3 linked regions of the Yarrowia lipolytica genome follow. The main gene of each other region encodes a partner of the protein of the gene in region 2 in a complex. Links are inferred from orthologs where the notes say so. Each region holds a gene or a part of one and is shown on either strand. Other genes may lie near its edges. The genes, in order: YALI1_C25758g, YALI1_B04470g and YALI1_B17132g.

Evidence for each region.
Region 1: YALI1_B04470g (region 2) and YALI1_C25758g share a complex: the UniProt entries of both Saccharomyces cerevisiae proteins name them as parts of the PAM complex. The link is inferred for Yarrowia lipolytica from reciprocal best matches to the Saccharomyces cerevisiae genes PAM17 and MGE1.
Region 3: YALI1_B04470g (region 2) and YALI1_B17132g share a complex: the UniProt entries of both Saccharomyces cerevisiae proteins name them as parts of the PAM complex. The link is inferred for Yarrowia lipolytica from reciprocal best matches to the Saccharomyces cerevisiae genes PAM17 and PAM18.

Annotation. Positions count from the first base shown.
Region 1 is NC_090772.1:2,570,327-2,581,389, reverse strand, and holds YALI1_C25758g (uncharacterized protein), read right to left. Parts: upstream 5,508-11,063; coding exon 4,761-5,507; downstream 1-4,760. Other genes in the region: YALI1_C25789g (uncharacterized protein), read right to left, coding at 1-2,430; YALI1_C25782g (uncharacterized protein), read left to right, coding at 3,149-4,486; YALI1_C25747g (uncharacterized protein), read left to right, coding at 6,517-6,626, 6,673-6,937; YALI1_C25742g (uncharacterized protein), read left to right, coding at 7,026-7,125, 7,170-7,345; YALI1_C25703g (uncharacterized protein), read right to left, coding at 7,894-10,992. UniProt on the Saccharomyces cerevisiae protein: Essential component of the PAM complex, a complex required for the translocation of transit peptide-containing proteins from the inner membrane into the mitochondrial matrix in an ATP-dependent manner.
Region 2 is NC_090771.1:442,923-453,597, reverse strand, and holds YALI1_B04470g (uncharacterized protein), read right to left. Parts: upstream 6,540-10,675; coding exon 5,937-6,539; downstream 1-5,936. Other genes in the region: YALI1_B04540g (uncharacterized protein), read left to right, coding at 1-397; YALI1_B04523g (uncharacterized protein), read left to right, coding at 1,227-2,540; YALI1_B04502g (uncharacterized protein), read right to left, coding at 2,688-3,386; YALI1_B04497g (uncharacterized protein), read left to right, coding at 3,887-5,554; YALI1_B04466g (uncharacterized protein), read left to right, coding at 6,928-7,350; YALI1_B04433g (uncharacterized protein), read right to left, coding at 8,429-9,464, 10,056-10,216. UniProt on the Saccharomyces cerevisiae protein: Component of the PAM complex, a complex required for the translocation of transit peptide-containing proteins from the inner membrane into the mitochondrial matrix in an ATP-dependent manner.
Region 3 is NC_090771.1:1,708,901-1,719,606, reverse strand, and holds YALI1_B17132g (uncharacterized protein), read left to right. Parts: upstream 1-6,360; coding exon 6,361-6,807; downstream 6,808-10,706. Other genes in the region: YALI1_B17155g (uncharacterized protein), read right to left, coding at 1-3,337, 3,420-4,008; YALI1_B17112g (uncharacterized protein), read right to left, coding at 7,279-8,394; YALI1_B17105g (uncharacterized protein), read left to right, coding at 9,023-10,706. UniProt on the Saccharomyces cerevisiae protein: Essential component of the PAM complex, a complex required for the translocation of transit peptide-containing proteins from the inner membrane into the mitochondrial matrix in an ATP-dependent manner.

The sequences.
Region 1 (11,063 bases), on a different chromosome or scaffold from region 2:
GTCGGGAGTAACTGCCTCGTACTGATCCACCTCCATTGTGAAGCTACCCCGACCCTGGGTCATGGATCGCAGAGTCTTTAGGTAGCCAACCATCTCTCGGAGAGGAACCCGAGCATGCACCACCGACTGTTGGGTTCGAGTCTGATCCTGATGCTTAGAAAGGTACATGGTGTAATCAGCAGGAACGTAGGTGTTGGTCGCCATTGCAACGTACTCCTCCGAGTGGATATCTCCTTCGTTCAACTGAGAGGGGTCCATAATGCTCACAATTTGTCCGTTTCGTGATCCACTAAGATCCTTGACCACTAGACCGATGTCAGCCTCGTTGACAGACACGTAGACGTTCATGATAGGCTCCATGAGAGTGGCGTTGGCAGTAGACAGAGCCTCCATGATAGCCAGACGGGTTGCTGTCTTGAGAGAAGCTGTATTGTTAATATGCTGCGCGATATGCCAGGCTTCGATTACAACTCGTACACTTCGAAGAGGGAGTCTGCAAACAGGGCCGCAGGACACAAGAGGGGGAATAGATCCCACTCGGAAACACTCTTCCATGATTTCGGGGGTAAGTTCCTTTGTATCTCGTTCAAACGAGATGCGCTGGTTTCCTTCTCCAACGGACTCAAGGTCGGCATCAGACAGCTCGTAAGGGAAAGAAACTGTGTTTTGTTCATGATCAATCACATTCTCGTTTTCACAAGCTTCATCCATCTCAGTGATGGGCTCCAATCGAAGTCGAACAGTGCTGACAGCTCCAGGTTCGGGCTCGACGGTCTTGGTGATACTTTTGGTAGGTTCATTAAGAGTCTCTTTGTAAGAAATGATGATAGGACCGATGACGATGTTGGCCTTGAAGTCCTCAATCAGTCGGTTCTGAGCAATCTCAAGATGAAGTTCTCCCATACCAGAGAGTGTGGTCTGGTTGGTCTCATCATCAAACGAAACGTTGAGAGAGGGATCTTCGCGAAGAAGCAGTTCAAGAGCCTCATTCATGGGTCGAGTGTCGCCAATGGACGCAGGGTCAATTCGAACAAAGAACACCGGAGGAGGGACAGCGATGGGCTTGAGCTGAATCAAACGGTTATCCGGGGGAAGTTTCATTACACCGTCCTTCTTGATACTGTGGCAGACAATGGTATCACCAGTAGCGAGTCCCTGGGAACCCAAAATGACTCCAATGTTACCCTCAGTGATAGACGTGACCTCTGAGGTGGTATCAGCATGAACCTTGAGCAGACGAGAAACACGGTCCTTGGTTCCAGATGTAGTGTTGTATAGGACACTGTTCTGCTTCAACTCGCCCTTGTATACTCTCACGTAGACAAGTGTGCCCTTTTGGGGATCCTGGACAACCTTGAAACACAGAGCACAGCACAGGTTCTTCATCGAATCGTCGAGAGTGATGGCCCGTTCCGGAATGACCTTGGACTTCTTACCTCCAGTGTACGACTTGGCAATTAAAGCGTCAGTAGGAGGACGTTCTGCCGGAGAAGGGAGGAAGTCGACAACTGCATCCATGAGGGGCTGGACGCCAATGTTTCGAAAAGATGCACCGCACAGAACTGGAACAATGTCGTTGTTGATGGTGGCGGTTCTCAGGGCCCGTTTAATGTCTTCAGTAGTGATTTGCATGTAATCTTCAGATTCCAGAAACTTTTCAACCAGCTCTTCATCGAGTTCAGTGAGCGTTTCAACCAGTGCAGTACGGGCCTTTTGATACTCTTCCTGCACCTCGGCGGACGCTTCGGAAACAGGAACAACCACAGTCTGTTTTCCGTCTCCTCCAGTAGTCCATGTGATGACACATCCGTTCAAAATGTCAACAACGCCCTCAAACACCTGATCTGACGACTTGGAAAACACGGGAACGGTCAGAAGCGCGACACGTGTTCTCAACTTGCTCACAATCTCCTTGACAGTACGTCCAAAGCCAGCTCCAGCTCGATCCATCTTGTTGACAAATGCAATTTTGGGAATGCCCATCTCCGAGGCCTGTTTCCACACCTTTTCGGTTTGTGCCTCAACTCCAGCCACTCCGTCGAGAATACAAACAGCTCCGTCCAGCACACGAATTGATCGGATCACCTCAAAGGTGAAATCAGCGTGCCCCGGAGTATCGATCAGATTGACGGTATGGTTGTTCCAGTTGAAACTGGTGGCGGCCGAGGCAATGGTGATACCCCGCTCCCGCTCAGCAGGCAGGAAATCCATCGTGGTGTCTCCCTCATCGACATTTCCGAGGTGCTTGATGGTGCCAGACAGGTACAGGATTCGTTCCGTGGTGGTGGTTTTTCCTGCATCGATATGAGCGATGATTCCGATATTTCTGATCTTCTTGGTTGTGTTTTTTGCCGAGTAATGGCGACTCGCCATCTTCAGCGGCTGCACGGCTGACAGAGGCCGTAGCGCCCTCAGCGTCCTCGTAAACATAGTGTGGTGGTCTGGAGAGATCTGAAAGTGCTGCAGGTGGATTACTGTAGGTGCAGGAATCCTGTGATTATGGAAGCGATGAAATGATCAGAACAATACTCGAAGAAGAAAGAAAAAAGAGATCAGTACATTGTCATACGGGGTATGTATAGGATTTTTCAGCAAAATAATTAAATATACATCTCCCTAGTTGCACAACGCGGTGCTCAGTTCACAACTAAGAAAATGATCCGAGATGCACTTTTTACTTGACTCTGGAACATGGTTTAGTATGGTTGGAGAACCGAGCAATAGGCGTATGTGACCTTTCAAGTACAAGTGATTGAGAAAAGAATCATTACAAAATCGTCAATAAAGTGAAGATGTTGCAAATTTAAGATTAGTCAGCCAAAAATTGCAGCCAAAAACACGAGGCATAGTGCCTCTCCGCTCGGTTCTCAGGTTGAACATTCTGAACTCAAATAAGTCGACTTGAATATGCATACGAAAAATCTCATACCTGTTCAATAATACACGTTCCAGGAGTATTTATGAGAATATAAAAGGGCTAATCAGTTCCAAATCGCACAGTGACAAATCAGCAATGGAAAGTTCGTCACTATCAGCTTCAAACGCTCCCCCCAGTAACCCGCTCGAGATTTCTCCCATCATGTAGCCGAACTTAAAACTCGTCAATATTCCTGCAGGTTGTATCACTCCTCCAACCACGCGCACAACCATGTCACGACGTCTGTTGACCTCTTTTCGGGGCGCTATTCGACACCAATCGACTCTGGTGGACGGCAAGAAGCATGCTGTTGACGAATGGACCAACATCACACCGACCATCTCGTCTCTGATTGGTCGAAACCTGCACCTTCAGGACTCCCATCCTGTTGGAATCATCCGATCTATCATTGAGAAGCGATTCGAGGGTATGGGCTACACTGCCTACAACAACTTTCATCCAGTCGTCAGCAAACACGAGAACTTTGACCAGCTCGGATTCCCCGAGGACCATCCGGGACGAGCCAAGACTGACACCTACTATATCAACCACGACACCCTTCTTCGAACTCACACTAGTGCCCATGAGGTCCACTGTTTCCAGCACACCAAGACGCCCGGTTTCTTCGTCACTGCCGACGTTTACCGTCGAGACACCATTGACCGAACTCATTACCCTGCGTTCCATCAGATGGAGGGAGCTCGAACCTGGAAGCGAGAAGACTACCCCTCCGAGGAGGCTCTGATTGAGAAGCTCCGAGCTGACGTGGCCGCAATCCCCGCTACCAACCTCATTGTCGAGGACGTCGACCAGGTTTCGCACCCCGAGAACCCCAAGTCCCCCTACATGTCTGATACCGAAACCGAGCTTGTCGCTGCCCATCTCAAGAAGTCCATTGAGCTGCTTGTTGGAGATATTTTCGAGCGTGCCAAGGTAGCTGCTAAGGTTGCTGGGTCTACTGATCCCGATCTCGAGAAGCCCCTCAAGGTTCGATGGGTCGAGACTACTTTCCCCTGGACCACTCCTTCATGGGAGATTGAGGTGTGGTGGAAGGGTGACTGGCTCGAGTGCTGCGGATGTGGTCTTGTTCGTGATCACGTGTACTCGGCCTCAGGTCTTGACAAGCACACCCATTTCGGCTGGGCCTTTGGTCTTGGTCTGGAGCGCCTGGCCATGATTCTGTTCGGTATCCCCGATATTCGACTCTTCTGGTCTCTTGACCAGCGATTCCTGTCGCAGTTCAAGCCTAACGAGATCACCGCTTTCAAATCCTGGTCCAAGTACCCCGGCACCGACCGAGATGTGGCCTTCTGGCTGCCCGAGGGCGCTGCTCTGGACTCCATCCACGAGAACGACATCATGGAGCTAATCCGAGCCACCGCCGGCGATCTGGTCGAGAACGTGGCTCTCACCGATACCTTCACCAACCCCAAGACCGGTCTGACCTCGCAGTGCTACCGAATCAATTTCCAGTCCATGGAGCGAAATCTCGAGAACCAGGAAATCAACCAGATGCTCGACGCTTTCAAGGAGATGCTTGTTGACCGATACGGCGTTAAGCTGAGATAGTACGATAGTGTGCCGAACAGTGTCACGCACAAGTACAAGTACAAGTACAAGTGCTTGTAAATGTATATGTAAATAGTAAACGATCCATGTTTTATCACGTTTTGCGAGCATGTATGAACAATTGATGTTGAATAAGGCCATTGAGTCCTTAGAATCTGAATCTTTAGTACAACTCATCATCCGATCACCTTTTTGGGTATTGATTTTATCTACAGGTGACATTTTCTGAAACATTACTCATTACTATATACATATTGGATAATTTGTGGTGGAATTACTCGCCCTTAACAACTCCGACCTTGGCGGCTCGCAGAATTCGGTCGTTAAGAGTGAAGCCGGTCTGCTGGACAAAGAAGACGGTGCCGGCCTCCTTGTCGGGCTGGGGGGCCTCGAAGACGGCCTCATGCATGTTGGGGTCGAAGACCTCGCCGACGGGCTCGAGCTTCTTCATGCCGTGCTTACCCAGAGTCTTCTCGAAGATATCCTGGGTCATCTTGATGCCGTCGTAGAAGTTCATGATCTCCTTGTTGTTCTCTCGGTCGTTCTTGATCTCGTCGGGGACAACGCCCAGGGCTCGATCAAAGTTGTCGACCGAGTCCAGCAGGTCTTTGGCGAACTTGGCCAGGGCAAAGTCGTGTGCCTTCTTGATTTCTCGCTTGGTGGTCTCCTGCAGGTGTCGGAAGTCGGTGATGGCTCGCTGGTAGTGCTCCTTGAACTGGGCGCACTCCTTGTCCTTCTTCTCGAACTTGGCCAGCAGAGCCTCGTACTCCTCGGCGGTGGGGGCGGTCTTGGTCTCGGCAGCGGACGCACCAGAAGCGGAGGCGTCGGCGGCGTTGGCCGCGGGACCAGCAGCCTCAGCAGCGGCCTCAGGGTCCTCAGCCTTGGTTTCAGCCTTGTCGGAGTAAAATCGGGATCGGAGGTTGAAGGAGGCCATGGGGGCCACGGTGGCGGGTCGCATGGCGGATCGGACGGTGGATCGGACGGCGGCCGACCGCTGGACACGGGCAATTCGAGAGATCATTTTGTGTGTGTATTTCGGGCGGTGTTTGGGGGAGGATGAAGAGGTGTTGTTAGTCTCGAAGAATGGAAAATTCAATTCCCCAAAATTAACTTTGAACCCACAGTTGCCCTTGAAGTGGAAGCTTAGCGAAGGTTGGAGTAGGAGTTGGGAGAATCCATCTGACAGCGGTTGGCTCAAGGTCAGGCGTCATAAGTTAAGCAAGGCGTGCGAACCAGCAACAATGGGTTGCCCTGTCTCAGGCATATGTCTTAGGCCGCGAAAGCACGTGAATTGACTACTACCGAGACCCATGACCAATTTCTCCTTCATTTCCCCCCCCCCCTCACTTAGACTTGCACCGCAGACCACGTGACCAACCCGGAGAAAGGGGCGGAACAATTGCCACCGCTGGGGAAAGGCGTCACATTCGTGTGGCCTGAATCGATGGGTTAGTCAGCGTGCGAGTGACTAATGCCCGCAATTGTCTCTGTCTGGATCCAAAATATGCAAAATATGCGACTATATCGTCCATAGCCGCCCTCTACACCACATGCTCCAGATGAGATGGTGATGAGATCATGCATGGTCATGCCAAAAGCTGTAAAACAGAGTGCGGCTAGACACGCGAAATCTTCCGCGGGGGTGGTGGGAAAAAGTTGTGAAACCACGCTATGTTTGGCGTTGCAATCGGCGACTGTTTGATTGGTTGGATTTTTGAGCTTTGCGTATTTGTCGTTGGATGGCGATGTGTAGTCTAGTGGTGTTGATGATAAGTGTGTTAGTTGAGACTCACGTACCATCTCGCCAATTATGATTGTGAGGTTCATAGTTGCCGCCATTGCCGTAATTGAAGTGTACCGTCATAGCTCTGGTCAGTCCCTGAGATAGACAAGGACGGAACTTCAATTGCAACACTCGAAGCTATCTGAAAAAGAGTGTTATCATCGCATCATACTGATCAGTGAATAACCTGTTGTCTGGGTGAAAGAAGGATGTACCCACCCTGCTCCACAACCGCACAAGCGAAAACATGACAACGATGTGCATCGCGGGGACAGGATCAATGACAATCAACAGATCAGCATTGTGTCCGACCAAGACCCACTGTTTCAGAACAGTTGGTTCCAGAAATGGCCGAGAGTGTCATTTCGAATAGCAAATGTGGGCCATCCCGAAGCTGACGGAGCGGCAGAACGTCACATCAAGGCTGTGAAAGAACGACTCAAACCATTCTCTCAGGAAAGGTCTCTCACAGGGAAGACTATCTACTTCAAGGGGTTGTGGTAGCAAAGTCATGTCTCGCTAGTCTGCAACTGGTACATAGTCTTCCGGCACTGCATGGCTCTTCGCGGCCAATCCCGATCCTGGCCAGATATCGAATACAGGAAAAGGAATGCACGGAGATTTGGGGTAGCTATCTTCCCCGCAAAAATGGAGCGATCGGAAGATAGTACATACTTGTACTTATGATACAAGTGCGAGTACGGTACCCGTATTGACGAGAGCGAGTACTACGAGAGCGAGTACTGACGAGTACCGATGTTTCAGCACAGACTAATGTTTGCGGTGACACAAGCACTGATAAGACAGATGACATTTGCAGAGAGGGATTCACTGGTAGTTAACTCATCAGGGCACTGTTTCCCTCCACAGTGAACAGTCTCCTCAGATCAAGTTGAAAAGTGGACATGCCAATTGCCCTGTCCGAACGAGATAGAATAAAACACATGCATCTGGAGCGTCGAAAGGCATCTTCCGGATACACACGGATCTTTTGCACTGATATCAGACCCTGTTATCTGGCCCAAAACCGACAAACCCTTCTCCAGTATTCCTCATTGGATTTTCCAGCCGCATGAAAACATGATATTTTGTCCGACCCAAATGCGAGCCGCATCTCGGAGACGATGTATCCGGGAAAGGATAAAGAATTTCAGGGTGAATAATTGTTGGATTTGCATTGTTGATGGCTTATCTTGTTCTCTCGATCGTGGGGAGTGTAATGATATAATTTTTATGGAGATCGATCAACAGCATCCATCTCAAATACTGTCCGATGTTTGGAAAAAAATTCACCGCCCACTTCAGTGCACTGCAACCCCTCCACCTAAGAGCTAGACGTCTACGGTTACATATCGCCCCAGTATGGCACAAGAGATATCGAATTGAATCGAATAGCTTGGAGTGTGTGTGATTAGAGGATTTGTATCTGACCACAAAAACATACAACTACAACAGATAGTCGTTCTGGTTGTCTGTAGTTGCACGTTCTTCAGCTCGAGATCCAGCTCCAATGAAATGTCACTGCTCCAGGTGTCATTTACAGTATGCTGATCATCTGTCAGCCCTATGCACTCATACAACTACTAACAGTCATGTTCAGGTCATATCAATTAAATAAAATAAACTAAGGGAAGTTCTCAGGCGAAGGACCAAAGGTCTCTCCAGCGGCCAGGGGTTTCAGAATGGCACCCTTAAAGTCCAGGTTGTCGTAAGACACAGTGTTTCCCCACCACTCGAGCTCCACTCCCTTGTATTGGACTGCAAAGAAGATGATGATGGCCGAGAATGCAATTCCGGTGATGAGACCAGCATCAAGAACGTAGGTGTACTTACGCCACCAGGCAGAATATCGTCGCTTGATCCAGGAAAAGAGCAAGGAGACGTACAGACCGCCAGTAGCATAGGACAGGTTGTAAGGAGCAAAGTTGAGAACACCGCCAACAAAGATGACGGGGTTGAACAATTTCAGGGTAGACTGCAAAGACAGAATTCGCTCTCGGTGCTGGGGGAACTTCTTGGCCAGAAAAGTGGGCAGAGGGTACTGCACGGCCCAGAAGATGAGACCAACGACGGCACCAAGCAGAAACATGTACTTCATGGCAGGGTAGATCTGGAACATCTTGGCTGGACCGAGAGCTCCCCAGATGACAGAGGCCGAGAAGAAGGTGTTCTGAGACACACAGGTGAACTTGGTTGTGGTGGCCTGCTCGGGAGTGCAGATACCTTCAATCTCAAGCTGGTAGTAGAGCACACCGAGACAAACAAATGCTCCAACCAGAGTACCAATGAGTTGAGATCGCATCAAAGCTCGTGGGGGCATGTGAGTGTAGTAAGACACCTTTTGGTCGGTGATGAAGTTTTGGGCCTGTCCATCAACCTGGTAGCCAATGGCCTTAAGGATCATCATGGCCTGAGGATGACCTGGGAGAGCGTAACCAACAATGAGCTGGACGAGCACGTTGAGACCGAATCCGAATCCAGTGTATGCAAGAATGAGAGTCAAGGGAATCAGGAAGACGAGGTTGATACCCAGGCAGAAGAAGAGACCCCAGATGGGAGTGTCTGTGGGCCACACTCGAATGGCAATGACCGCCAGGACAAAAGATACCACCAGGAGACCAATAAAGACCCAGTTCTGGACCTCGGGGTAGGCAGCAATCATTCGTGAGAAGGGCTCGTCCTGTCGGTTGGTGAACTGGGAACTGTCCATATCGTGTCGGGTGGCCTTGCGGTTGGTTATTCGCATGATGTAGAACTTCGTGGTCATGAAGATGTCGATGAAGGCCTGCTTCACATCTCGGAAAGACTCGACCATGGTAAACCACTCGGATAGGCCAATGTAGACAAAACCAAGAGTGTAAATGGCGAAGAAACTGGAGTATACCATGAGGTTAGCAGCAGTGTAGAAGGGGGGCGAGTAGGTTCGGTACTTGGTGTCATCAAAGGTTCCATCAGTAAGCACTCGAGAAACATTGTATGACTTTCCAGTGTTGTCAAAGATTCGGTTGGAGTTGATGGGCAGGTGAGCAGTGCCCTTGGTGTTAGTGTAGTAGAGTCCGAGGATAACAGAGGCACCAAGGATCATTCCAGCGTATGTGTTAAGAACGGTGAACTGTGGCAGAACCAAAGGATCAAACAGCGCAAACATGTTGTTGGTATCAAAGGTAGGCCAGGGGTTGACACCCATACCCTGAGCACCAGTGACGATGTTGATGTTGAGGTTGTCAGGAGCAATCCAGGTGATCCAGTTGAAGGTTGACAGAGCCTGGAAAATATAGCTGGGGAACCAGAAGTAGACAAACGCGCATGCGACAACAACAAAGAAGAACTTGTAGGGCGAAATGGTCCAGGAGTGCACCTTCTCTCGCTTCTGCTTGACCAGCAGGGCTCGGTTGAGAGCCAGAGTGGGCATCAGAGTTGGCCACATGGCCTTGGTAGGGTAGACGACAAACTTTCGGAGCAGACCCGCAAAACCAAAACCCATAAACTGCGACGCAAGAGTCAGGGTCAGAGTGTAACCAAACTGTCGGGCGTAGTCGACTCCGTAGTACATGGGCAGAATCTGCACAAACAGGTTGTAGGAGGTGATGTAGGTGCCTCCGATGGCGACGGAGATGAACATGGTGGCCAGCATCTGTTCTTTGTTGTTCCAGGGCCCAGGGTTGAGCGAGTGTCGGGTACCACGGAATGTGAAGCCCTTATCGGGCAGAATATACTCCAGTGCCTTGCCAGTGGGGTAGAGCAGCAGCTGGCAGACCATGGTAGAGATGGAAATGGCAGGCATTCGCACAGAGAAAAACTGGTTGACTCCAGCACCAACAATGAGCCAGATAATTCCAGCCAGGTACGCTCGGATGGTCTCCACAGGCAGGTTGGGGTCGTCAAAGGGGTCTGTGACTGATCGTACCTCGATGTAGGGAGACCAGTAGTGGAAAATGGCAGCATGGTATCGAATAGCCAGGCTCAGTTCGTTGGGAGACATGTTAGCGGGGTCGAGATCGGCAGATCCGTCTTCGTAGGTCGCTCGGGTGGCCACTCTGTCGACTGTGGACTCAGTGTTCTTCTTGGCCGAAAGAGAGGGATTAGCTTCTCCAGACTCGGAGATGTTTCCTTGGGCATACTCTTCAGAATGGCGGATCAGCGACCGCCAGAGCAGCATGGACGACTCGGGGATGTTTCGGTCGTCCTTGTGGTACTCCACGTGGCGTTTGAGGATGGCTAGCGCCTCTTCATCGCCCATCTCGTCAACCTTGAGGGCAATGTAGGAAACGGACTCCGGGAAGGGTTCGTCGTCAACGGTGGCAATGCCGAGCTTGTAAGCCACGTAGAAGCACGTGTCTTCGAGCACCTCGGCGGTGTCGATGATGACGTGCTCATCCGAGTGGCCCTTTTCGTGGGTGTGGTCTTTCTCCATTGGTAGTAGTGGGATGCCGGGCTCGTCGGGGTAGTCGTTGTAGTTATTGAGGAAGTCAGACGGAGTGCTGTGGTAGCTGTTGTACGGGTCCTCTGCGCTTATAGAAAAAGAGTCGTCTATGGGATCGTGGGAAGGTCCAGCCAGAGACTCGTCTTGTTCTTCCAGAAGCGGTATGGAGTCTGATCCTCCGGCACCCCGGTCTATATGTATATGGCCTGCTAAGCCATGGGCGCGTCCAGGGAATGGCACTCTGCCATTGTGCTCCTCCGGCAAATGCAGATTATGCCTCTTGACCCTTACTTTTCGCATGACACGGCGCTGTGCCAAGAGAGATGGTTGTGACGTTCGCAACAACAAGTGTGGAGGGGCCGGCGCATGAC
Region 2 (10,675 bases):
CCAGCGAACCTGGCAGACTGAGCGAGGAGGAGGACAATTCTCTCTCGGAAAGATGTACGACGGATGGGCTCCGTTTGGCCCTGCCATTGTGTCGCCCAAGCTCGCTGGCAATCCCGACAACCTCAAGCTGTCCACCAAGGTTAACGGCGAGATTGTCCAGGACGCTGACACCACTGATATGATCCACAAGGTTGCTGATGTTGTTTCCTTCTACTCCCAGGGCTCCACCCTCATGCCCGGAGACCTGATCTTCACCGGCACTCCCTTTGGTGTTGCTGCTGGCCGAAACCCCCACAACTGGCTCAAGGACGGAGATGTGGTTGAGATTGAGGTCGAGAACCTTGGAACTCTCAAGAACAAGATTGTTTTCGAGAAGGGCGAGAAGCCCAAGCTTTAGACTAGTAACAAGTAGCAAATAGACATTGATGATTAATGAGTGACTGATAATCCACCGAGATAGGTGCACTCTTTACTTTTGCCATAGCCGGTCCTAATTCAGCGGGGGGTGCCTAATAGAGTTAACCGAACGTTTAGAAAGGAACTTATAGGTGCAAGTTAGACAGGCCGTAATAATATCGGTGGAACACTTCCACTGGTGATATGGGTTATTTTGTACCTTTAGAATTGATTCTGGGCACCCGTTTCTCATTCAGAGAGCTCTACCATGAGCAGGAGTGTCTCTCAGACGCCCTGCTCCCGAACAACCGAGAGGTTAAAGAGCATTTAGCTTATCCTTCTCCGTTGTTTAGCCGATAGTTCGAGGTTTGTTCAAAACTCGCTCTTTTTTGTGAATTTTGAAAGTTTTTAGCAGTTGGTCTAGTTGATTCAGGCTTCAACAACTGGATCAGAGCTTCTAACTCCTTTCTAGAGGCAATATGACGCGTACCAGGCTTCGGCCGACCCCCATGTAGCTTTCATATAACCAACGTAAATCAAAGTCTAACCAAATCAGGTATTATAAGTCATGGCAGTAGGAGGAGAGTGTGGTCTGTAAATACGAGTGTATGACCCAGTTGCAACCGTTTTATCGACTCCTCTTCCCCAGCAAGTTGCCCATAACTCGGTGTTATGAAGTTGACATGATGATACATTGATTAAGTTGGTGATGCGCCCTGCATAAGTTTCACCGCTCGCAGCTTGTGCCCAACGTAGCAGCCACGGTACTATCGAGCCCGTTGATCGCTTCACCACTCACACTCGCTACGCACCCCTCGCACATACACAAGATGAACTCGCAACAAGTATATCAGACGCCATGGAAACACGAGGATAAACGGCGGCTGAGGGTAGATCATATGACCGCCGCGACTATGAGAAGTGCAGCTGCTACACTGCTACTGGTGCCCTTGAACACGACCGAACTGGCAGGGCCTGCTCGCGGTCAGCACGTTAAAATGGATGCCTTGGACGCACTGTGTCTACAGTCATTCATCGACGTGATCGGAGAGGTTTTGGCAGGACTCACAGAGTACCCCATGACGACAGAGGTACTCCCCCAGATAGCAGTGGAGTGCACGTGTATCATGCACGCGGCAGTGGCCATTGGCAGCATTGTTCTGGCCAAGAGAGGGACAATAACCGAAGAGCAGGCCCTGAGGTTGCACGGAAGAGCCACCATGTCTCTTCTACAGGCGCTGACAGCTGTTCCCAAGGACGACGAGGCGTGTTTGTGTGCCTCTGTGCTGCTCAATATCTACGATCTGTCGTCAGATGGTGCCCAGGATACTTATATTCATCTCACTGGATCGAGGGCTCTCATGGCTGATCTGGATTACACACACGACTCGAACGGCATGCCTACAAAGCTGACACCATTAGCACGTATGTGTGTTTGGGCCAACATATTCAACGATACCCTGGTGGCCATCAGACACTCGCTTCCCGTGTTCTGGGACCCAGACGAGTGGTTTGACCTTCTAGGATTGTCATATTGCTCTCCTGAAACAGCGTCTCCTACATGGTGGTTTCGACGCATCCACTATCTGTTGGCCAAGCTACACACCTTCTCTTGTGTTCCAAGGGTGCTGACCGAGCAGGAGACGGTTGAGAACGAGCTCCACAAGTCGTTTCAGGCCCTCTGTGAAGACGCAGACGTGTGGTTCGGCTCAGTACCGGAACCAATGCGACCCACTACCGTCATGGAGACTGAAAGCCCGCTCTTTCCGTGCATATACATTGTCGAGCGAAAAGGAATCACCGCCATGTGCATGTACCACTCATTCATGCTCATTGCCTCGAGGTGTGATCCCAGTGTGCCCCTTTCGCAGATGTACATGCGGCAGCCCACAACCGTTCATCACGCCTCGCGCATCTTTGGTATCGTAAAGACCAATATTTGCGAATGGCTGGCTTCAGGGGCCATGTTTGCCCTACGAATAGCTCTTGAATCGCTTGTAGAGCCCGCGCATCGAAGCGAGGCTCTTGAATTTGTCAAGGGCATGGCTGCCACCTATCATTTGAATATCAGTTCACATATCGACGCAGTCAGAAGCCACTGGCAGGAATGGGATAATTCTTCCTCTAACGGGTATCACCAATAACTTCCCTCTGTTTATATTACTGTACTAATACTAATGTAGCAACACTTGTACTCATGAGTAGATTGCTCCAATACTACAATACCTAGACCGTCTCTTATACACTGTATTACTGTATTGATCAATAAATAATGGGCCACTAGCCGCAGCTTACAAGGCTGTTCCTCGCTCAAAGTTGTCTCTGATCTCCTTGGTGTACTTGTCGTACTGTCGGTTGAGCTTCTCGTTGAACTGCTTGTTCTTGTCGGAGATGTACGTTGCATGCTGATCGTCGGCTCCTGCCTGCTTCCGTCGCTTCATTCGCTGCTTGTCGCCCTTGGTGAGTCCGTTCACGAGTCGATCCAGAGCCTCAGGTGTGGGTTTATGGTTGAAAGACGGCGTATGATGTAAGCCAGTCTCCTTTTCCTTCTCGTATGTCTCCAGATCGGGCTTAAAACTGGCCAGATCTTTCTCGTATGCTCTCTGCGCGGTCGAAGACATGTCGTGGACACCACTTTGGCTTTCACGTTCTCGCTTGCGCTCCTTCTTCTCCTTCCATTCCTCCGTCTCCTTGACTGTCCAGTCCCATGCTCGTTTTCTATCAAAGTCCTCTCCACGCTCCTCGGCCTGCAGTTTTTCCAGCTCAAACTCAGCCTCCTGCTGTTTCCGCTCCAGTAGCGCATCCGCCCGCTTGTTCACCTTGAGGTCCTTGTCCTCTTCGAAAAGTGCTTTTCTGTTGGACGTCGATGAATCGTTCATTTTCTGTCTGATGGCACTGAGCCGTGCCAGACGGGCGGCCTTGGCGTCCTCCGCCGATGGCTTGGCTTCAGCCGCCTTCTTTTCCTTCTTGTTTTCCGCCTTTTTCGCCATGATGATGATGTGATGCGAAGGTGATTGAATCTAAATAAAAAATAACGGTGATTATGCACGGCGGATGTGATGCGGTGGTGTGAAGGGAGGCGAGACGAGCGTATTTCAGAGGCTCTGGGAAGCTGAAACTTGACAACTTCCATATTCTAGACCCTGAGGAACTACCTTTTTTCTACTCGGCAAGTTTGATATTTCACAACTTATTGGGTCTGTTAATGAAGGTCTTATTCCAGCGCCACCTTCAACTAAAAATGAAACAGAAGTATATAACTCAAGTGGCACGTTTAGTTAATTCTTCCTCAACTTGAGCTTGAGATCATAACCTGTGCGTATAGAGTCCATCAAAGCAATGCTTCAGAGAAGTCAGAAGAGAAAAACGTGTCATATTTGAAGTGTTAACCTCAAGTACTACATTACCACATTCCTCTTTATTCTCTTCAATATATTACTGCAAGTGCTCGTACAAGTATCGACTTAGGACTCCCCACCGATTTTCTCGAATGCACCTTCATGCACAACTTTCAAATATAGTGCGTGAAACTCAACGCGCAGACCAACCATCTACAATCTCAACCATGGCTTCAATCGACAGTGTGTTTGAAAACGCTGGTTTCGACGGCGCTAAGCGACGCAAGACGGATGACGACGCACAGCCCGAGGAGGAGGCATCATTGCCAAAGTCGCCCCAAATTGAAGATGAACACATTGAGGAACGATTTGCAATCCAGAAGTTGGTAGACGAACACAAAGATGGCCCCCAGGAGGCTGACTGGCTGAAGGGTCTTGTTCTTGACCTCGAACGTGCTATTACTTCAAACACGGAGAAACGAGAATTGTTTGCTAATGAACCTCTGAAGTTCATGGACTCTGAAGTGGAGCTTGAGAAGGCCATTCGAGCTCTCAGTGTGCTTACTACCACAGATGATGACGACTTTATAACTGTCTACAAACGATTTGTGTCCGACTTTGAATGTCATGTGTCTTTGATGCAGCTTCTGGACCATCCCAACCTCGACATTGCACTCATCACCTGTGAGATCTTCCACGAGCTCATCACTCGCACCAACGATTTCGCTGATCCCGATGCCCTCACTAGGTCTCTATGGTCTAACGACGACTTCATCGATTACATCATGGAACTGACCGACAAAATCGTCAGGATTGATCCTACACAGATCCAGTATATTCTCGACATGGGAGACGTTATGTTTGTTGAGGACGATATCACCCCACAGCTACGAACGCACATCTTCCCCAAGTTTCTGGATCTTCTCGCCGACAAGAAATCACCCCTACTTTTGCATGATAGATCAACCATGGCTGATTACTGTCTTACTTGGCTCACCAAGTACGAGTATCGAACCGGAGTGTCTGCTGAACGAGTGGAAGCACTTATCAAATACCTGATGGCCTACGTTGATAAAGATCCCACCAAGGGGGACGAGGAGGAACTGGCTGGATCGATAGCTGGTATCCTCGCATATATTCTCACCAGTCCTTCCGGACGAGCAGCTTTCGCTGAAGTTGAGGGTGTGGATGCCATGGTGAGGCTCATGGGAGGAGAGGGCAAGTGGATCAAGAAGCATGCTGCTCGTATTATCAAGGCTGCTCTGAACTCTTATGATTCCACGGAGTTGGCTACAGTGTTTGTGCAAGCCAAGGGTTTGGGTGTTTTGTTCAAGGCTCTCAAGGCAGGCAAGAACAAGCATTACAAGACCTATAGTGAATATGGGGAGTTTCTGTGGGCCATATATGCTTCTCTGCTGCGTCTTTTGCCTTCGGATTCGCCTGAACGAGTCAGAGTGATAGCCAAGATGGACAAGGCTAAGTTGGATGAGCTTAAGGAGCTCAGAGATGACACACAACAGGCTGTAGATACCATGATTCCCGCACTGGAGAGTGCATTGGCCAATGAGGAGGACACTGAGGAGATCGTGACTGACATGGAGATGCTAGGAAGCAGGCTGGTGGTGGTTCTGGACACGATATTTGCATGGATGAAAGTAGAGGGTCAGGATATTGAGGTGGACAAAGAGGTGCTCAAGCAGGAGAGAGATAACAAGGCTCGGTACCTTGGCTGGGATGATGATAGCAATGAGTATCAGGAGATGATGAAGAACAACAAGGATATAGTTGGCATGTTGGATTATTTGCTTGAGAGCAAGTGAGTGAGTTTAACACACAGTCATAGCATGTACAACTTGGAAATATAGATTAACACGCGTATACTACAAGTATGTACAGTAGTCTTGCCATTGGGGCTGTACTTGTTATCTATTTGTGGTCATAGATTGACTTCTTAGATTGACTTCCGATGTTAGATTGACTTCTGATTCGAGACATGTGGAGGAACTTGGGTGATTTGAGGAACTTGGGTGCTTTCAGTACATGGCCATTACAACACATTTGTTCTATTGCACCTATCTCTTCGTTTCATACTCAATTGCCACTATAATGGCATAGTCCAGCAATTGCTCTCATATTGCCCTCCATGCACGCTCCATGTGTACATACTACACTCCATTTCAGATCATTGTTTACTATATACATTTAGACCTCTCGGGCACGGTTGTACTTGGCGCAGTCACGCAGCCATCGTCGGTAGTCCTTGAGAGAGCCGATCTTCTCGCCGTAGTAGTCGGGCACGGGGTTGGAGACGGACTGGTATCGAGGGTTCACTCGGTTTTTCTGGATGTGCGACAGGAAGTCGGTCTCCTTCATGAGGAAGGCGGGCCACTGCTTGGAGTTGGTGGCCTTGAAGATGAGCTGGCCGATGGTGGGGCCCAGGAGAGAGCCCATAAATCCAGCTGCCACCACACCCAATCCAGCCGCGGTGAAGGCATCCAGACCGAAGAAGACGTCCTGCTGCTCGAGATCCAGCTCGGCCTCGGAAATGAAACCCCATGCAAGAACAGAGGTGGCCACACCGGTGAAAATGGAGGCCACAAAGTTGATCTGTCGTCTTCGGGTTCGCAGAAGCAGGAATCGCTCCCAAGTGAGGGGAACGGGGGCGGTTCCGGCGAATCGCTTGGTCATCTGACCAACTGAGGGTCGCACGAGGGTAGGTCGGGCAAGTGCAACCCGGCTTCTCAGCATCTGAAGGGACATTGTGTGTATGTGTTGTGTAGTAGAGTGGAGTTCTTTTAATACCATGGTTCCACTAACATTGGGTCATTTGCTGTACATGTACTCCGGGTAACCCAGTGCAGGTGGGAGGTACTGGTAAATCTTATTTGAAAAGATTCGATATTTGCATGGGGCGAAATTGATACTGGGTAAAATCAAAGCACACAACTAACGGAATGGTGAGTAGAGACGACATCCAGACGCTGTACAGCTCCATCTAACACAGAACGAGGGAAACACACAGTTCCTATACAAGGCCAAGGCCACCAAGAAGGACAAGGCTGCTGCCAAGCGAGAACGACACCACACAAAGCTGTCCAAGCGAGGAGGCATCAGCAAGGCTGATTTGAAACGAAAGAAGCCCATTCATGATCGACCGTTCGACTACGGAAACCCTCTGAAAAACGAGGCTGCCATGCGACCTGTTTCCCAGGGGGTGACTTCGGTGAACAAGGGCACTCCTTTGCCACCTGCTGACATTGATGCCATCATGGCTGATGGTGCCACGGCTAAGGAAATCAAGCGACAACAGAGACAGGAAGCTCGACGTCAGCGAATTCGAGAGACCGAGACGCTTGCAGCCAACCTCGACGATCTTCTGGACCCTCTCAAGGCCGAGAACGGAGGCCGAACACGAGAAAAGCTGGATCATACCCCTAATCCCCGGAATGCTCGAGGTAACGAGGCCATCATCAAGGCCGAGACCAAGCGGTTCAACAAGATCCTCAACTCCAAGGAGTATCAGGCCAGTCCGTTTGCGTCGCTTCAGGCGTTCCTGAAGACCCAGATTCCCCAGAACGAGCCTGCTCAGCCCAAGGACAAGAAGATGCACATGTAACAGACCAGTGCGGTATGTTGAAAAGACAATGGAAGGGATGTGAACATAAAAGGAGGTACAAGTATAGTTATTGCATTATAATCTTTATGGACCGTGTGGACAAGTGGACAAGTGGACAAGTGGACAAGACGGAGGCGTGATGTTTTTTCTATAGTTCATGGATAGGAGGCCAAGTTGATGCCTCGTACGAAGGCTATCCTGTAGTCTGATGGGTATGACTATAAGGTCAGATGCACCAATACGAGTTAAGATACGAGGCAATGTGTGCAATCTTGCATACAGTGGGGGAGTGTACATACAGTGGGGGTATTTGTTGTTCAATATTCCCAATTTGCTTTCAATTAAACGCTCAACTGTCGCACTATGGAGTTGTGTGCATACTGTATACTTGTCACTGACACTGAAATCCATTCGGTGTGGGCTCTAGACAGCTACTGTAGCTGCAGTACAGATACTGTACTTTTACTTGTACAGCAGAGACACAAGTCTTTCAAACAAGGACCACCCTAAATCGCCACTACAGTAAGGCGAACGACTCTTCAAAAAGATAGATTGCTATCTTATCGAGCCATATTGCAGTTCTTTCCAGCCGTGTGATCGCAGTCACCGTTGGTTTTCATATCAAGTAATATAATAATCCTCCCCAATATGCCATTTCCCTCCTAAACATACCCGTATTGTGGGGCCATGTGCTCCTTTACCGTACATATAGTATGAGTGCGGGGCGAGCGGCTGTTGATGCCCCACTCAACCGGCCTAAGGGAGCATTGAGTATTTGGGACTCAACAGATATGAGGGGATATTGGGGATAGCAATGTTTCATGTGGATGGGGCATGCAATTGCTTCTGTGGATGTGTGTGGTATGTCTGAATGGTGGGCTTGCTGGGCTGAGTAGTTGACATGTCTAAGAAACAGCCATGTTAGTTATCATTCCTAAGTAAAATGAAATAAGGTGTACAGCATCACATAACAAGAAGAACATAACCTGAAATTTCGTGATATCACGATACATCTACATCCGCTACGCTCGCAGACTTTTCCTTCTTTTTCATATGCAATAAAATACAGTCTATCTATCTAGTTGGCGTGGTAAAGAATCTCGGGGAGATCATCAATCTTGAGCTCACCGTGGATAATGCCCCAGGTGGACTCGAACAGAGGGAAGTCCTTCTGCATGTTCTTGTTCTTGAGCAGCTCGTGGACCTCGTTGCATGTGATGACGCCCTGGGCGGACTGGCCGTTGAGAAGCTCCTTCTCCACGTCCTGGATGGTCTTGCCGGAGCCGCTCTCCTTTCCGAATGCTCGGCCGACCTTGAAGTTTCGGCCTCCAGCGCACGAGGTGATGAGATCGGCCACACCGGCAGACTCGACTGTAAGAGTGTTAATATCAGTTTCGGGGAAGAATCGCTTGGAGAAGTTGATCATCTCAAGCATGCCTCGTCGCATAATTGCGGCCTTGGCGTTGTCTCCCCAGTTCTTGCCCTCGACGAAACCGGCGCAAAGGGCAACAACGTTCTTAAGGGCACCTCCGATGGAGACACCGGCGACGTCCTGAACGCATCGCACATGGAAGTAGGGTCGGTGGAACAGAGCCTTGAGCACATCGTTGGTCACATCACCCTCGCCAAAGAAGTCCTTGGGTCGGTTGTAAGCAACGGTAGTCTCGGAGTACTTCTCCAGAGCGATCTCGGTGGCGAGGTTAGCCCCGGACAGAACACCGCAGTGGAGACCGGTCTCGTTCTCGATAACGTCGGAGAGCAGGTAAACACCCTGGGGGGTGACATCTAGACCCTTGAGGCAGGAGATGGCTCTAGCCTTGGGGTTGACGTGGCCCTTGAGCTGCTTGCAGACACCAGCCAGGAACTGATGGGGCAGGTTGAAGACGATGATGTTGGCACCCTCGACGGCCTTGAGCAGATCCGGCTCGGCGATCAGGTTGTGAGGAAGTTTGATTTTAGGGAGGTATCGCACGTTCTCGTGCTCAGCGTTGAAAATGTCGGTCAGGTTCTTGCCGTTGACCTTCTCTTCTCGAACCCAGACTCGAACCTCGGGCTCAAAGAGCTCGGGGTGAGCAGTGCAGTTCTCGGCGACAATCTTGGCGACGGTGGTTCCCCTGATGTTAGTATGGTAAGCGGAGGTGAGTGGCCAAAGGTCACAAACGGGGCAACGCCGAATGCGCTGAATGACTGACAGATGACATATAACGGCATTCACAGCAGACTGGGCTCAAGGTGGAGGAGGGGCTTGAAGAGAAGGCAAATAGAGTACTTCTTGAGACTCTTAGAATTGCTCTCACACTTTTAAATGCTTCCAGAAGACCTCGCATTGCCACTGTCGCCACTCCACTAAACTCCCCATCGAACACTTCATTAAACTCGTAGAGTTAAGCAGTGCAGAGGAGGTGCGTGTCGTGTCAGTGTAGCCGTGTGCAACTGTATAACTTCTTCTGTCGTCTTCTGTTGCTGTCTTCTCATCCAGTTCTGTGAATTGCCCATTTCACCATGATCTGTATGTGTTCCTGTTGGGGGTGACCCAAAGGAAGCCGTATCTGCGGTCTGTGGTGTTTCTCTGTTCCATGTGTTGTGTCGTGCTTGTTTGTTTGTCTAGTTGCTCTCGTTTCAGCATCCATGTCGCGGTTGTCGATGGGTTATATTATATAACCCCCGTTTGAATCCCTTGAAAACTCCTGTCTTTTTTTACTCACCAGTTACCAGAACCAACAACGGCGACCTTGAAAGGAGCCTTGCCGGCGGTGTTGGCTGCGCTGAGAGGCGCGGAGGCGGTCAGCAGTCGAAGCTGTTGTGTGAGACGGTTGACGGCGGACATGTGTTTAAAACGCAGGGACGATCGAAGTAGAGCGCTCATGTTATGGGGATGCGATCTCTTATATCTTGGTTGAGTAATTTTCAGAGGCGCCCGCCAGAGAATAGGGTTTAGCCCAGCGTCTGAAAGCGTGTTCGGAAAAACACTTCGTTGGGCCGAGTTGGGGTGGGGGAGGGGAGGTGGAGATGAGCCAGAAGACGGTGTTCTGTTGCCACTGCCGTCGATGCTGGTCTACCGTCTCTTCACCAGACCCAATATCGCCCTACAACGTCTTCACAACTCCACCAACACGACGAATATCATACAAGCTAATGGTGAATAAGGTGCTGGAGCCGAGGACTTTAGCGGAGGTAGAGTGGGGTGCAGGAGAGTGGCAATATGAGAGCGTAAGATGAAGAGCGGCAATGCGATTTTTGGAAGCAACTTTTTTTCGCGTCATCCATCATCTTGGTTCTGTGGTTCTTCCTTGTTTCCCTATAAAAGCCCCCATAGCTCGCCACC
Region 3 (10,706 bases), about 1.3 Mb from region 2:
ATACCCGCAATCATCATGTGGGCAAATGTGGAGTTGTAAAGGAAGAGCAAAAGAACGTAGAGGAAGAAAAGAGCCCCTCGTTCGTGGACAGAATTGTTGTGCTCAGCTGTCCACTGGAATCCCACAGGGTAGTAGAAACAGAAGAAGACAATTACACCCATGAGGAATTGCCAAGACAGCTCGACTACCATATTGGATGCCATGAACACTTGCCACGAGTATGTCTTGGACGACCGTTCTCGTGCTTCGTATTGCTCTCGCATCTGGTCAAACTGAGGAATGATCTGCTCCACAACAGTGTTGAAGATCAGGAACAGCATGAAGAAGGAGAACATTTTGTTCTGCATACCCTGGATATCAGAAGGTGCCTTGAAGAAGGAGAAACCAATAAAGATGGCAGAGGCGGTACACAAAAAAATCTTGGACCACAGGTAAGATGGAGTTCTCCAGAATCGCTGATATAGTCGTTTGGTGACAATCTTGAACTGAGTCCATTGACCTACTGCGAACTGGTCCGAGTCGGAGTAGCCGGACGCGTCTCTCTCAGTGTTGTTGGTCTGTGTTCTCTCGACGGTCTGGGCCATCTCATCGAGTTCTGCCCGTTTGGCAGCTCGTTCAGACGACTCATTCCAGACCACAGGCCAGTCTCTCTTGGCAGTAGATCCAGGAGCAGCTCCAATCACTTCTAGCATCCACTCTGCAGGGTTACCTTCCTTGGGACAAGGGTCAGCTCCGTTTCTCTCAAAGTAGCTTGTCAATATGGTAGACTCAGGGCCAATATCGCCGTAGTAGACGGTTCGACCTCCGGAGGCTAGGAACAAAAGTCGATCAAACTCCTGGAAGAGGATAGCAGAGGGCTGATGGATGGTGCACAAAATAGCCTGTCCATTTGCAGCCAGTTTCTTGAGTAGTTTAATAATAGACCAAGCAGTCTGAGAATCAAGACCAGATGTAGGTTCGTCCAGAAACAACAGCAGCTCAGGCTTGGCAGCCAGCTCTACTCCAATCGTTAGACGCTTTCGCTGCTCAACGTTGAGACCCTCGCCTGGAACACCAACAATAGCCTCAGCATAAGCCTCCATCTCAAGAATTCGAATAACCTCATCTACGTAAGCAAGTTTGTCCTTGACTGAGATGCTGGACGGCTGTCGAAGCAGAGCAGAGAACTCGAGGGACTCGCGTACGGTAGCAGTAGACGTGTGAATATCCTGCTGTTGAACATAACCAGTCTTTCGTTGGAAAGATTCGTCTCTGGGTTCTCCATTGACCAACATGTCGCCAGTAATAACACCTGTCGCTTTTCGGTCAGCCAAAACATCGAGCAGGGTAGTCTTACCTGCACCTGAAGCACCCATCAGAGCTGTCAGAGTGCCTGGCTTGACCCAACCATCAACATGGTCCAGAAGTCGTCGTTCTCCATCCTTGACTTTGGTGTCATAGCAAACATCCTTCCACTGGAATATTCCCTTTTGGGCCTGGATGTTAATGGAGGAGTCTTCGGATGCAGGCTCCTCGCTCTTCTCACCAGCCATCATCGCACCAGCCTCCTCGTCGTTGGCAGCATGTTTCTTGATCTTCTTGAGGTATGACTTCCGGAACACGAGCACCTCGCCTTTGGACTTGGCGCCCTGAATATATTCTACCGCGACCAGGTAGCAGAAGCCAAAGAAGAATATAAAACCGAACAGGATTCCCATGTTTCGCCACAGATGAGCATTGTAGTACTGGTACGCGAGACCCAGAAATCGGTCGCCGTTGACCGACGATTCGGCAGGTACAGAGCCAACAACGGAACACGACTTGTACTGGAGATCAATCTGGTCGTATTCTCCTCCCGTAGGGACGTATGAAGCACACCCGTAGTCTCGATTTCGGAACTCGTTCACCATTACAGCCTCGAATCCATAAGCGACTGGGTTCAACCAGTTGATCCACCGAGCCCATCCGTGCATGTAAGTGATGGGAAGCGAGAAACCAGTGTAAATGACAAGCGCCAAGATGATGACTGATGCAGGAGCTAAGGCTTGCTCGAGAGTTTTGGTGATGGCAGCCATGCACCGGAAGATCATGGACATCGCAAGTGTACACAGAAGCGAGAAGAGGAAGAAGATGAAAAATGGACCTGGTTCACGTCTCAGGTACGTCATGAAGTACAGAGTCAGATTGACAGCCAGGAGCGTAAGGATTTTAGTAGGGAATGTGGTCAGAATGGACGCCAAGGCTTCAGTAAATGGATGGTATAATGCATACCGCGTTTGTTTCTCCACAATCGGACGTTGTTCGTAAAGCGATAAAATTTCCAGGACCGAAGAGAAGGCGTTGAGCAGAATAGCGAAAAAGAGAAGAGCTCCTCGAGAGAAAAATGTGTCTGTGGTCTGCTGCATGTTATAGAACATGGAAGACAGAACCAGGGCCATGATGAAGTTTCCAACCACAATGGAAATATCTGTTGACATGTCTCCTTTGATACGCAGAAAGCCACGCCAGAGACACAATCTGGTCTGCATGGGCCATGATATCGTATACGGAGACTTGACACGAGTGTGTCTAGCCTGTGACTCCTTTCGCAGCTCCATGAAGTGATCCTGAGACTCTCCACCCAGCTGGAACTCGGTGTTAAACTCCTCAATCTCTTGTAGGAGCTTCTGACGAGCCTGTGACTCCATCCAGCACTTTTCGAAGTCGTCAGGAGTTCGAGGCACCTTGTTCTCCCACCCGGGCTGAATTATTCGCTCAATGGGGTTGGTTAGCGACGTGAGGAAATCACCCGTAGTCTGACGGTCTGCACACTCGAAGCCAAGATCAAGGAAAAACTGCTTCGCCTCCTTTGCGAGTCCGAAGTATATTTGTCGTCCCTCGTACAAAACACAGACCTTGTCGAACAAGTCGTACGCCTCTTGAGATGCCTGATAAAGAGAAACAAACATTGAAGAGCCCATCATCTCGGCTGACAGACGAAGAGACCGAATGAACTCGGTGGCATTGGCTGCATCCAGCCCACGTGTACTATTATCCCAGCACTGGAGAGGAGCTCCACAGACGACAGACTCGGCAATAGATACTCGCTTACGCTCTCCTCCAGAGACACCACGCACGAAATCGTTGCCAACTTTGGTATCCATAGTATGCGTGAGACCGAGGGTTGCCATAGTAACGTCTCGCGTATGTTTGGCAAACTGTTCACGTGATACTCCCTCCAGACGATTGTGGGGTGTTCGAGCGAGAGCTGCAAACAAGAGAGTGTCTCCGACTGTCAGATGGGGGAAATGGACATCCACTTCTGCGTTGTAGACGATTTCTCCCCGGGCGTTTTTAGTCATTACCTTTCTTGGGACGCCTATGTTAGTAAAAAATGTCGACAGAGAAAATGTATACTGATGAAAACCTCACAAAGGACTGCGTAAGATGTTCGTACTCACCCTGATAATTCCATTCTGTCTTATCCTCAATGTGAAAGCCATATGTTTCACAAGCCACAGACTTCAGGAATGTCGTACATCCCGATCCTGGTCTTCCTAGTACCACACAGGTCTCTCCTGCTCTCACCAGACCGTCAAAGTGTCTTAGAATCTGCACCTTGGTGCCCTTGTTACCTCCAAACAGCTCCATGATCATCGGGCCAATCGCCAAAACGGAGTTAGAGAAAGTCTTCTGGTACTGCGAGCCACCTCCATAACCATAAGCGGCCAGGTTCTTGAATGACACACCCGCTGTGATATGCTTGGTTGCTCCAAACCGCTGCTTCAATCCCAAAACGGTCTTGATCCATTTACGAGCGTTGAACTCGTCAGATAACGGATCGAGTTGGGGGTCCGAGTTGTCGATGTAAGGATTGACGTCAAGGTTAGGCTGGACAGTGTCGGATCTGAGCAGCTTTTCGTTCCCCACAGTGCCCTTTTCCGTGTCGTAATCGTCGACCCTATCTTTATGGACGGATTCTGCTATTGACCTGATTTCTGCATCAATGGTGGGATCCAGACCAGTGTAATCTGGTGGTGTGCTTTCCATGCTGTTTTTTAGGAAGAGAAGTCGGCTTCTAAAAACAATTGCTTTACAATGACGAGAGGAAAGTGAGAGACTCGTTTGTGGGATTGCTCATCACCTTTAACAGTATGCGTGATTCGACACTGCAGCACCCCATGAAGCTTAACTATAATTGCATATATTTACGCAAGCTGGGGAAAGGTGTTAGAGTGTCATGAATGTCATGAATGTCATCTGGGGGCGTTTTTACTGGTTTAGTCGATTTGTAATGCCTCATAATACTCCCGGATAGTCATTTTACGTGCAATAATGGTCAAAAACGACAAGTGTACATAATCTACTAACCGCGCCTCCACCTGCGCCGTGCAGAACAGTGAAGGTACATTAAAATTAAACACAAAATTCAATGCTGCCGTATGTTTTGAGGAGCGCAAAAGTGCGGAAAAGTCACGTGAGGCGTTTGTGTACGCTCCCAGGGAATTTTTATTACGGGAATGGTTCTATGTCTTGCAATGCGTATAGTAAGTGGCGCCACGTTCAAAGCCGCTCAGCACATTCTCAGCTAGTATATCTCGATACGAGCTGACAACAAGGAACATATTAAGCGAATTTGAATTTAAACGAGCAAAAATGAGCTTAATTGTGAAACAAATCAAACAAGGGACAAGAAACATGGCGAAATTCGGTAAAATTCATAGAGAGGAAGAATCTGATGGGAAACAATATCTGATATAATCTGAAAAAAAAAAAAAAAAAAAAAAAAAAAAAAAACACTACAAGTACAGGCCAATATCCCCTATTTCCTATTCTACGTTGGAGTGCCGTGTATAAAAAGGGTCCAAAGTAGCTTCGTAACCCCAAAAGCATACCCTGCCTGGATAACATGTTACATGCCACTATGACATTTGATGAGGACAAAGACATCACAGACGAGTATAGAATATACATACCGGAGGAATTGTCACGAAGGTCGCGACGGCAAATGATGGTGCATACGGGGGTACTTGAAAAGGTCGAGTGAGATTGAAGATGCTACAGGCCATACGTCTGTGTACATACTGGTGTGGCGATGGGAATTAGGGACTGTGGTCCCATACATGTACCACAGCACAGAGAAGGGATCTATGGTGTTAGAAGATAGCTCATCTGATAATCACATATACAGTATCATATTCTCATACCATGTTGTAACATCAGTTCCCCCAGTGCCTTAGTGCCCATTTTTCTTGATGTAGCTACAGAAATCGATGCTAATATGTACAACACTTGATGTTATCATCAGGATGCCAACTTGTAACGAACTCGACTCTTGCCACTACTTTTATCGCCGGTACCACTAACTGGATGCACCAGAATGGCAATTAGCCTGTGGTTTGGTCACTGGTGTAACTACAATACTCGTGCCTGTAGTTAGACCAAGCTCGTAAATCAATGATACTGTAGCATGTCCATCAACTTATAGTCTACTGTAATAGATTGTGCGCGATCTACAGTGCACTGGTGATATTCTAGTAGCTACACTACAAGCTCTAGCTACCTCTATAAGCTCCAGTACATTCAGCTGTGGTCAACTTACCAAGATCAGGTACATCTTAGATCTCGTACTAAGTCACCGGCTCAGGAAATTGGGACATCTCTTCGTTTATATCGTCCTCACGACTCTCCAGTATGATCAACCCTTTCCCTGCACACACACAAAACTCAACCCCGCTTAATAAGGGCGTTCGGAGATACTGCGGGACAGGTTTTGTGGGGGATTCTAATGACACAAGAAAGAAAACACCGTTCTAGAATGGATGTGGGTATATTTATCAGCTTTAAATAATCAGAGCCAATTAATAGATCCCATAGACACCTATATGATTGCTGGAAAAACCCATTCATTCGCCATCTCTATGTATTAGAGTTTAGGATTGTTATGGGGAGAGATTTTGGGGGTTACTTATACTCAACTAAATTGGGTGTCATTTTGGGTAAAAATTGTTCTGACAGAAACAACACACTTCCAATATATTATCTGTGAAAATTTATTCCAAATAGATCTACTATTAAACGTCTTATGAGCATCCCGAAGTTGAGATCCGCAAAGCTTACCTCATTTTAACCTCGGTATTTAGTTATACTCGATCACTTTACACGGGGACGTGTGATAGCTCCTAAAGGGAAAATGTGGTATCATTATCGTACTCTTCTCGTTTATAGAAGCACACTGGTATGTTCTAAATTCCCTTAGCACACCTACATCGTCCCCCAAAGTCTTCCCTGTGTCTTCTGCATGCTGCCAAAACCAACCACCCAAATTCGAAACTCAAAGTATATTTTGGTGGTGAAAAATTGAGTCTGACATCACCACTCACCACAGCACACTACACAACCATGAGCACTACCCCCGTCCAACCTCTGCAGTCGGAGCCTCTGATGGACTCCGAGACCGGCGTCGCTCCCCAGATCGAGGCCCCCCAGGTCCCCGAGGGCCCCAAGAAGGGCATCGACGAGCAGATTTTCGACTACTTTGCCGAGCACCCTGTCCAGGCCACTGCCGCCACTCTGGTCGGTCTGTATGCTCTGGGCGCTGTTTTCAAGCGTCCTGCTGCCGGCGCTCGAGGCCAGTTCTTCAAGGGCGGGTTTGAGAACAAAATGGGTCCCTCCGAGGCTCTGCAAATTCTGTCTCTTCGAGACGCCGGTCTGACCATGAACAAGCTCAAGGGCCAGCACCGAAAGATCATGTTGCTGAACCATCCCGATCGAGGCGGATCTCCCTACGTTGCCACCAAGATCAACGAGGCTAAGTCTGTTCTTGAGAAGCGGGGAGGACTCAAATAAACAACATGATCGAAGCAAATGTTGTGTGTTACAGGTGTGTTTCCCCTTGTGATGCTGACTCACAACGGCTTTAACCACCAGTAACTGCGGAGCATCATTGCAAAGGGCAATAAGAAGGATGTATATAGGAACGGCGGACGCCAGTACGGTTGTCCGTTGCTAATGAGATTGATGGATTTGAATAGTGTGTAGAAGAGAACATATCATTGTGAGGTCGACACATTTAGTTTGCGTGTAATGGCCCAGGGTGTATTTATTGCAGTCTTTCGAGTCTGCTGTTGTTATAGATTGCGTTTCTGTGCTCGCGAGTATTCTGGAAAGTTCCATGTCACGGATCAGTCTTAGTCAACCAGGCATCAATACCAATATGAACTACCAGAAGCCACCAGTACGGTCTGCATGCGTATTTCATGTTTATATTATCATCTACTTGTCTCCTCTGACACCTGCCATCAGAGAGTTCGAAGCACTCTACGTTTTGGTGAAAATACACACCACATCTTCGTCTCCAATCTTGTGCGAAAGACCACATTTCTGCGGCGAGTGCTTGGCCGACACACCCCACACCAACGCGTACTTGAACTTGTTCTTCATGTCTCTGTGAATAGTGTCACAGACATCCTCGATAGTGTTGTGAGTGGATCTAACCACGGTGGGTTCAGCGAAGTCCGGAAGCTCTCCCTTTCGTTTTGTGTAGATTCGTAGCATGGCGAGGTCGGCCCAGATTCGTTCCGTCAGATCATCGAGACCCAGCTCCATGGATGCAGAAATGACCACGGTGTCAGGCATGTGAGCAAGCCGGTCGACCTCCTCCAGAGACACAGCGTCACACTTGTTGTAGCAGTATAGACACTTGATGTAGGATCTGTGGTCGGCGTGGATCACGTCGATCATATCCTCGACCGTCACGTTTTCATCTCGGATCAGCACGTCGGCGTTGTGGATCTTGTAGTCCTTGAGCAAGTGCATCACCATCTTCTCCGAGAGGTACTTGGGCGGGTTGGTATAAGAAAATTTGACGCCTCCTGTCTTTTTAATCTTGAAATAAATGTTGGGCGGCTCCTTGTTAAGTCGGATGCCCACAGACTCGAGTTCTCGCTCGAGAATAGCACGCTGCTCCTCAGGCTTGGTAGCATCCAGAACCATGAGCACCAGGTCGGCAGTTTTAGCGGTCGAAACAACCTGTCGACCTCGACCCTTACCCTCGGAAGCACCCTGAATAATACCGGGCAGATCGAGAATCTGGATCTCGGCTCCATTGTACTCCAGCACACCAGGAACTGACGTCAGGGTAGTGAAGGCGTAAGCAGCAATCTCCGACTTTGTGTTTGTGATTTTGCCGAGCAGTGACGACTTTCCAACAGAGGGGAAGCCAATAAGAGCCACTCGGGCATGTCCAGACTTGCTGACCTCGAATCCTTCTCCCTTGGAAGTCGAACTTCCAGGAGCAGGCTCCAGAAGCTGTTGTCGATATCGAGCGAGCTTACCCTTGAGCAGACCAACGTGGTACTCGGTTGCCTTGTTTTTCTGCGTCCGAGCCAGCTCCTCCTGGATCTGTGTGATCTTTTCTGTGATTCCGATAGCCATCTTTGGGGAAAAAGAGTTGTGCCGTTGTCGAGATACAGTAGTTGAAATTTAAGAGTAGCTTTTCACCTGCATGTATTAGAGTTACACGTACTGTAGGTGGAAGGCGTAAGGGGAGAGGATGGATAGCAGGTGGTTGTGGTTGTTTTGGGGGGTATACAACTATTAAGGAAGCTGAATTATTCTATAAGGAAACAAAGGTCGATCCTCATTGATAAACTTCTCATTGATACTATTCTGGTCCTCGTAGCGAGAACAGGTCTGATCACATTGTATGTAAGAAAATACAGTCATAAGTGGGAATCGAATCAAAGACACATCTTAGTCATCCTGATACTTGACTTCCTAACTAAACTTCAACAAATACCTCCTGTCGAAATCAAACTTATAGAACTTCCTCAAATTTCAATATAATCCATAATAATAGCCCCATACCCCTTAATTCGGTTTCTTGGTACTTTCCCTCGTTAATTTATAATCTCACCTCTCCCCTACAAGTACGAGTACCAAGTTCCATTGACTACCCACACCACGCCGCTCCGACCCTAACCCCAAAATTCAGCATGCATAACTCCATTACATGTAACACGACACAACGCATCACTCCACGCTACGCACTACAATAGCAATCATGTCTCTGTTTCTCGAAACAGCAAAACTCACAGCCAGTGCGCAAATACACGCTCTTGAGACGCTTCTGGCGAGCTCTCCAGCCTTCTGCGCCTCTCAAAAGGAAGACATTTTGCACATTCTTCTGGTTCTCACTCCAGAATTGCTGGATCCAAAGGAATACATGGGGCTCGTCAACAAGGTGGGAAAGGGGCAATTGGACAAGGGACAAGATACGGGTAGTGTGGTTGGAGATGAGGGATTCATTCCAGAACTCGTGATCAAGTCTCGAGAACAAAAGCTGCTGGCATACCTCGATTCAGTGGTACCCAAACCTGTGCACAACTTTCTGGAGGAACGAATCCGACTCGTGTTCAAGGTATCACATGATACGCAGTTGATGGAGCAGCTGATCCTGCAGAGTGGTTACCACAACAACTCGGAGGAAGTTGATTGGGTGGCAGGCGTACCCCAGGTGCTCATCAACTACACGCGTCTACATGGTATCAACCCTGGGTTGACAATTGATGAGCTGGAGAACGGAGATCCTTCCCACGTGATTGAACTTCTGGGCTCGCATCTGAGAACGCCCTCTGCTGAGGACGACTTGCAGCTTGTGTTGGAGCCTTACGTTGCTTACAAAAACTGCTGGGCTGTCTTCCGAGATTTTGTGAGTCACGTGACACAATCCAATACACCTCTTTTAGCTACTTTGGCGCATAACGTGACTTTCCCCGAGTCCGAGCGAGATGCTTTCATTCAGATCGTGTTGAAGAACTCTTTTGAAGCTAACGATACTCAATGGGATGCTCTTGCTCTGATCACAGAGTCTCCTGCGGTTACTGGAGCTAGTCATTTGACCAGCCATTTCACGAAGCAGCTTGTTGAGACCTGCCGGTTGTTGGAACCTGCTATTCCATCTATCACCCTTCAACGGGCTAATAAGGTGACTACTTCTGGGGAGGAAGTTCAAGTGGATCTTCTGGATGACTTTGTGTTTGCTGAGGACTGGTTAAAGCGTACCTCTGACCAGTGGCAGACCTTCATTACTGCCACAGAGGTTCTCGTGTCGCTGAAGACTGTTTTCAGCACTCTTTCCGATTCCCAGGTTAATCAGAAGGTGTTTGAAGCATTGCTGGGAGCCTCTCAATTTGAAATTGCCAAGACCACGTATATTTTGGGTGGTCTCGTTGATTCCGAGTTTGTTGAAAAGGCCATTCTGGCTCAGTTTTACACTTTCTATGATGCTGCTACCAATGGTAACCACACTCGAGGAAGCATGAAGAGTGCCAAGCTTGTTTTGGGTATGGCTGACACCAATACACGTACCAAACACCAGTTCAAGGTGGCCCAGTGTCTTTTGGAGGCCACAAACACGCTGTCTAACTACTCTCTAACCCTCAAGCCCGGCACTCTGACCCGTCCTGTTGATATTCGCAACCACGATGCTCTTCAGGTGATGGATCGCGTTCTGGATCTCAACCCGGATGCTTACAAGAACTGTCCGAAGCTCATCCACGTGACCAGACAGCTATTGGATGGTCTGGACAAGTCTGAGTCCATCTCGGACGCTGACATCGAGACTCGCATTTACACACAGGCCGTGACCGCTGCTCTGGTTCATGACGATTTCGACACTGCGCAGAAACTGTGTGCCGCCCATGAGTTGCCTTGGACTGCATACTTCCAGGTGGGCAAGTACGTCA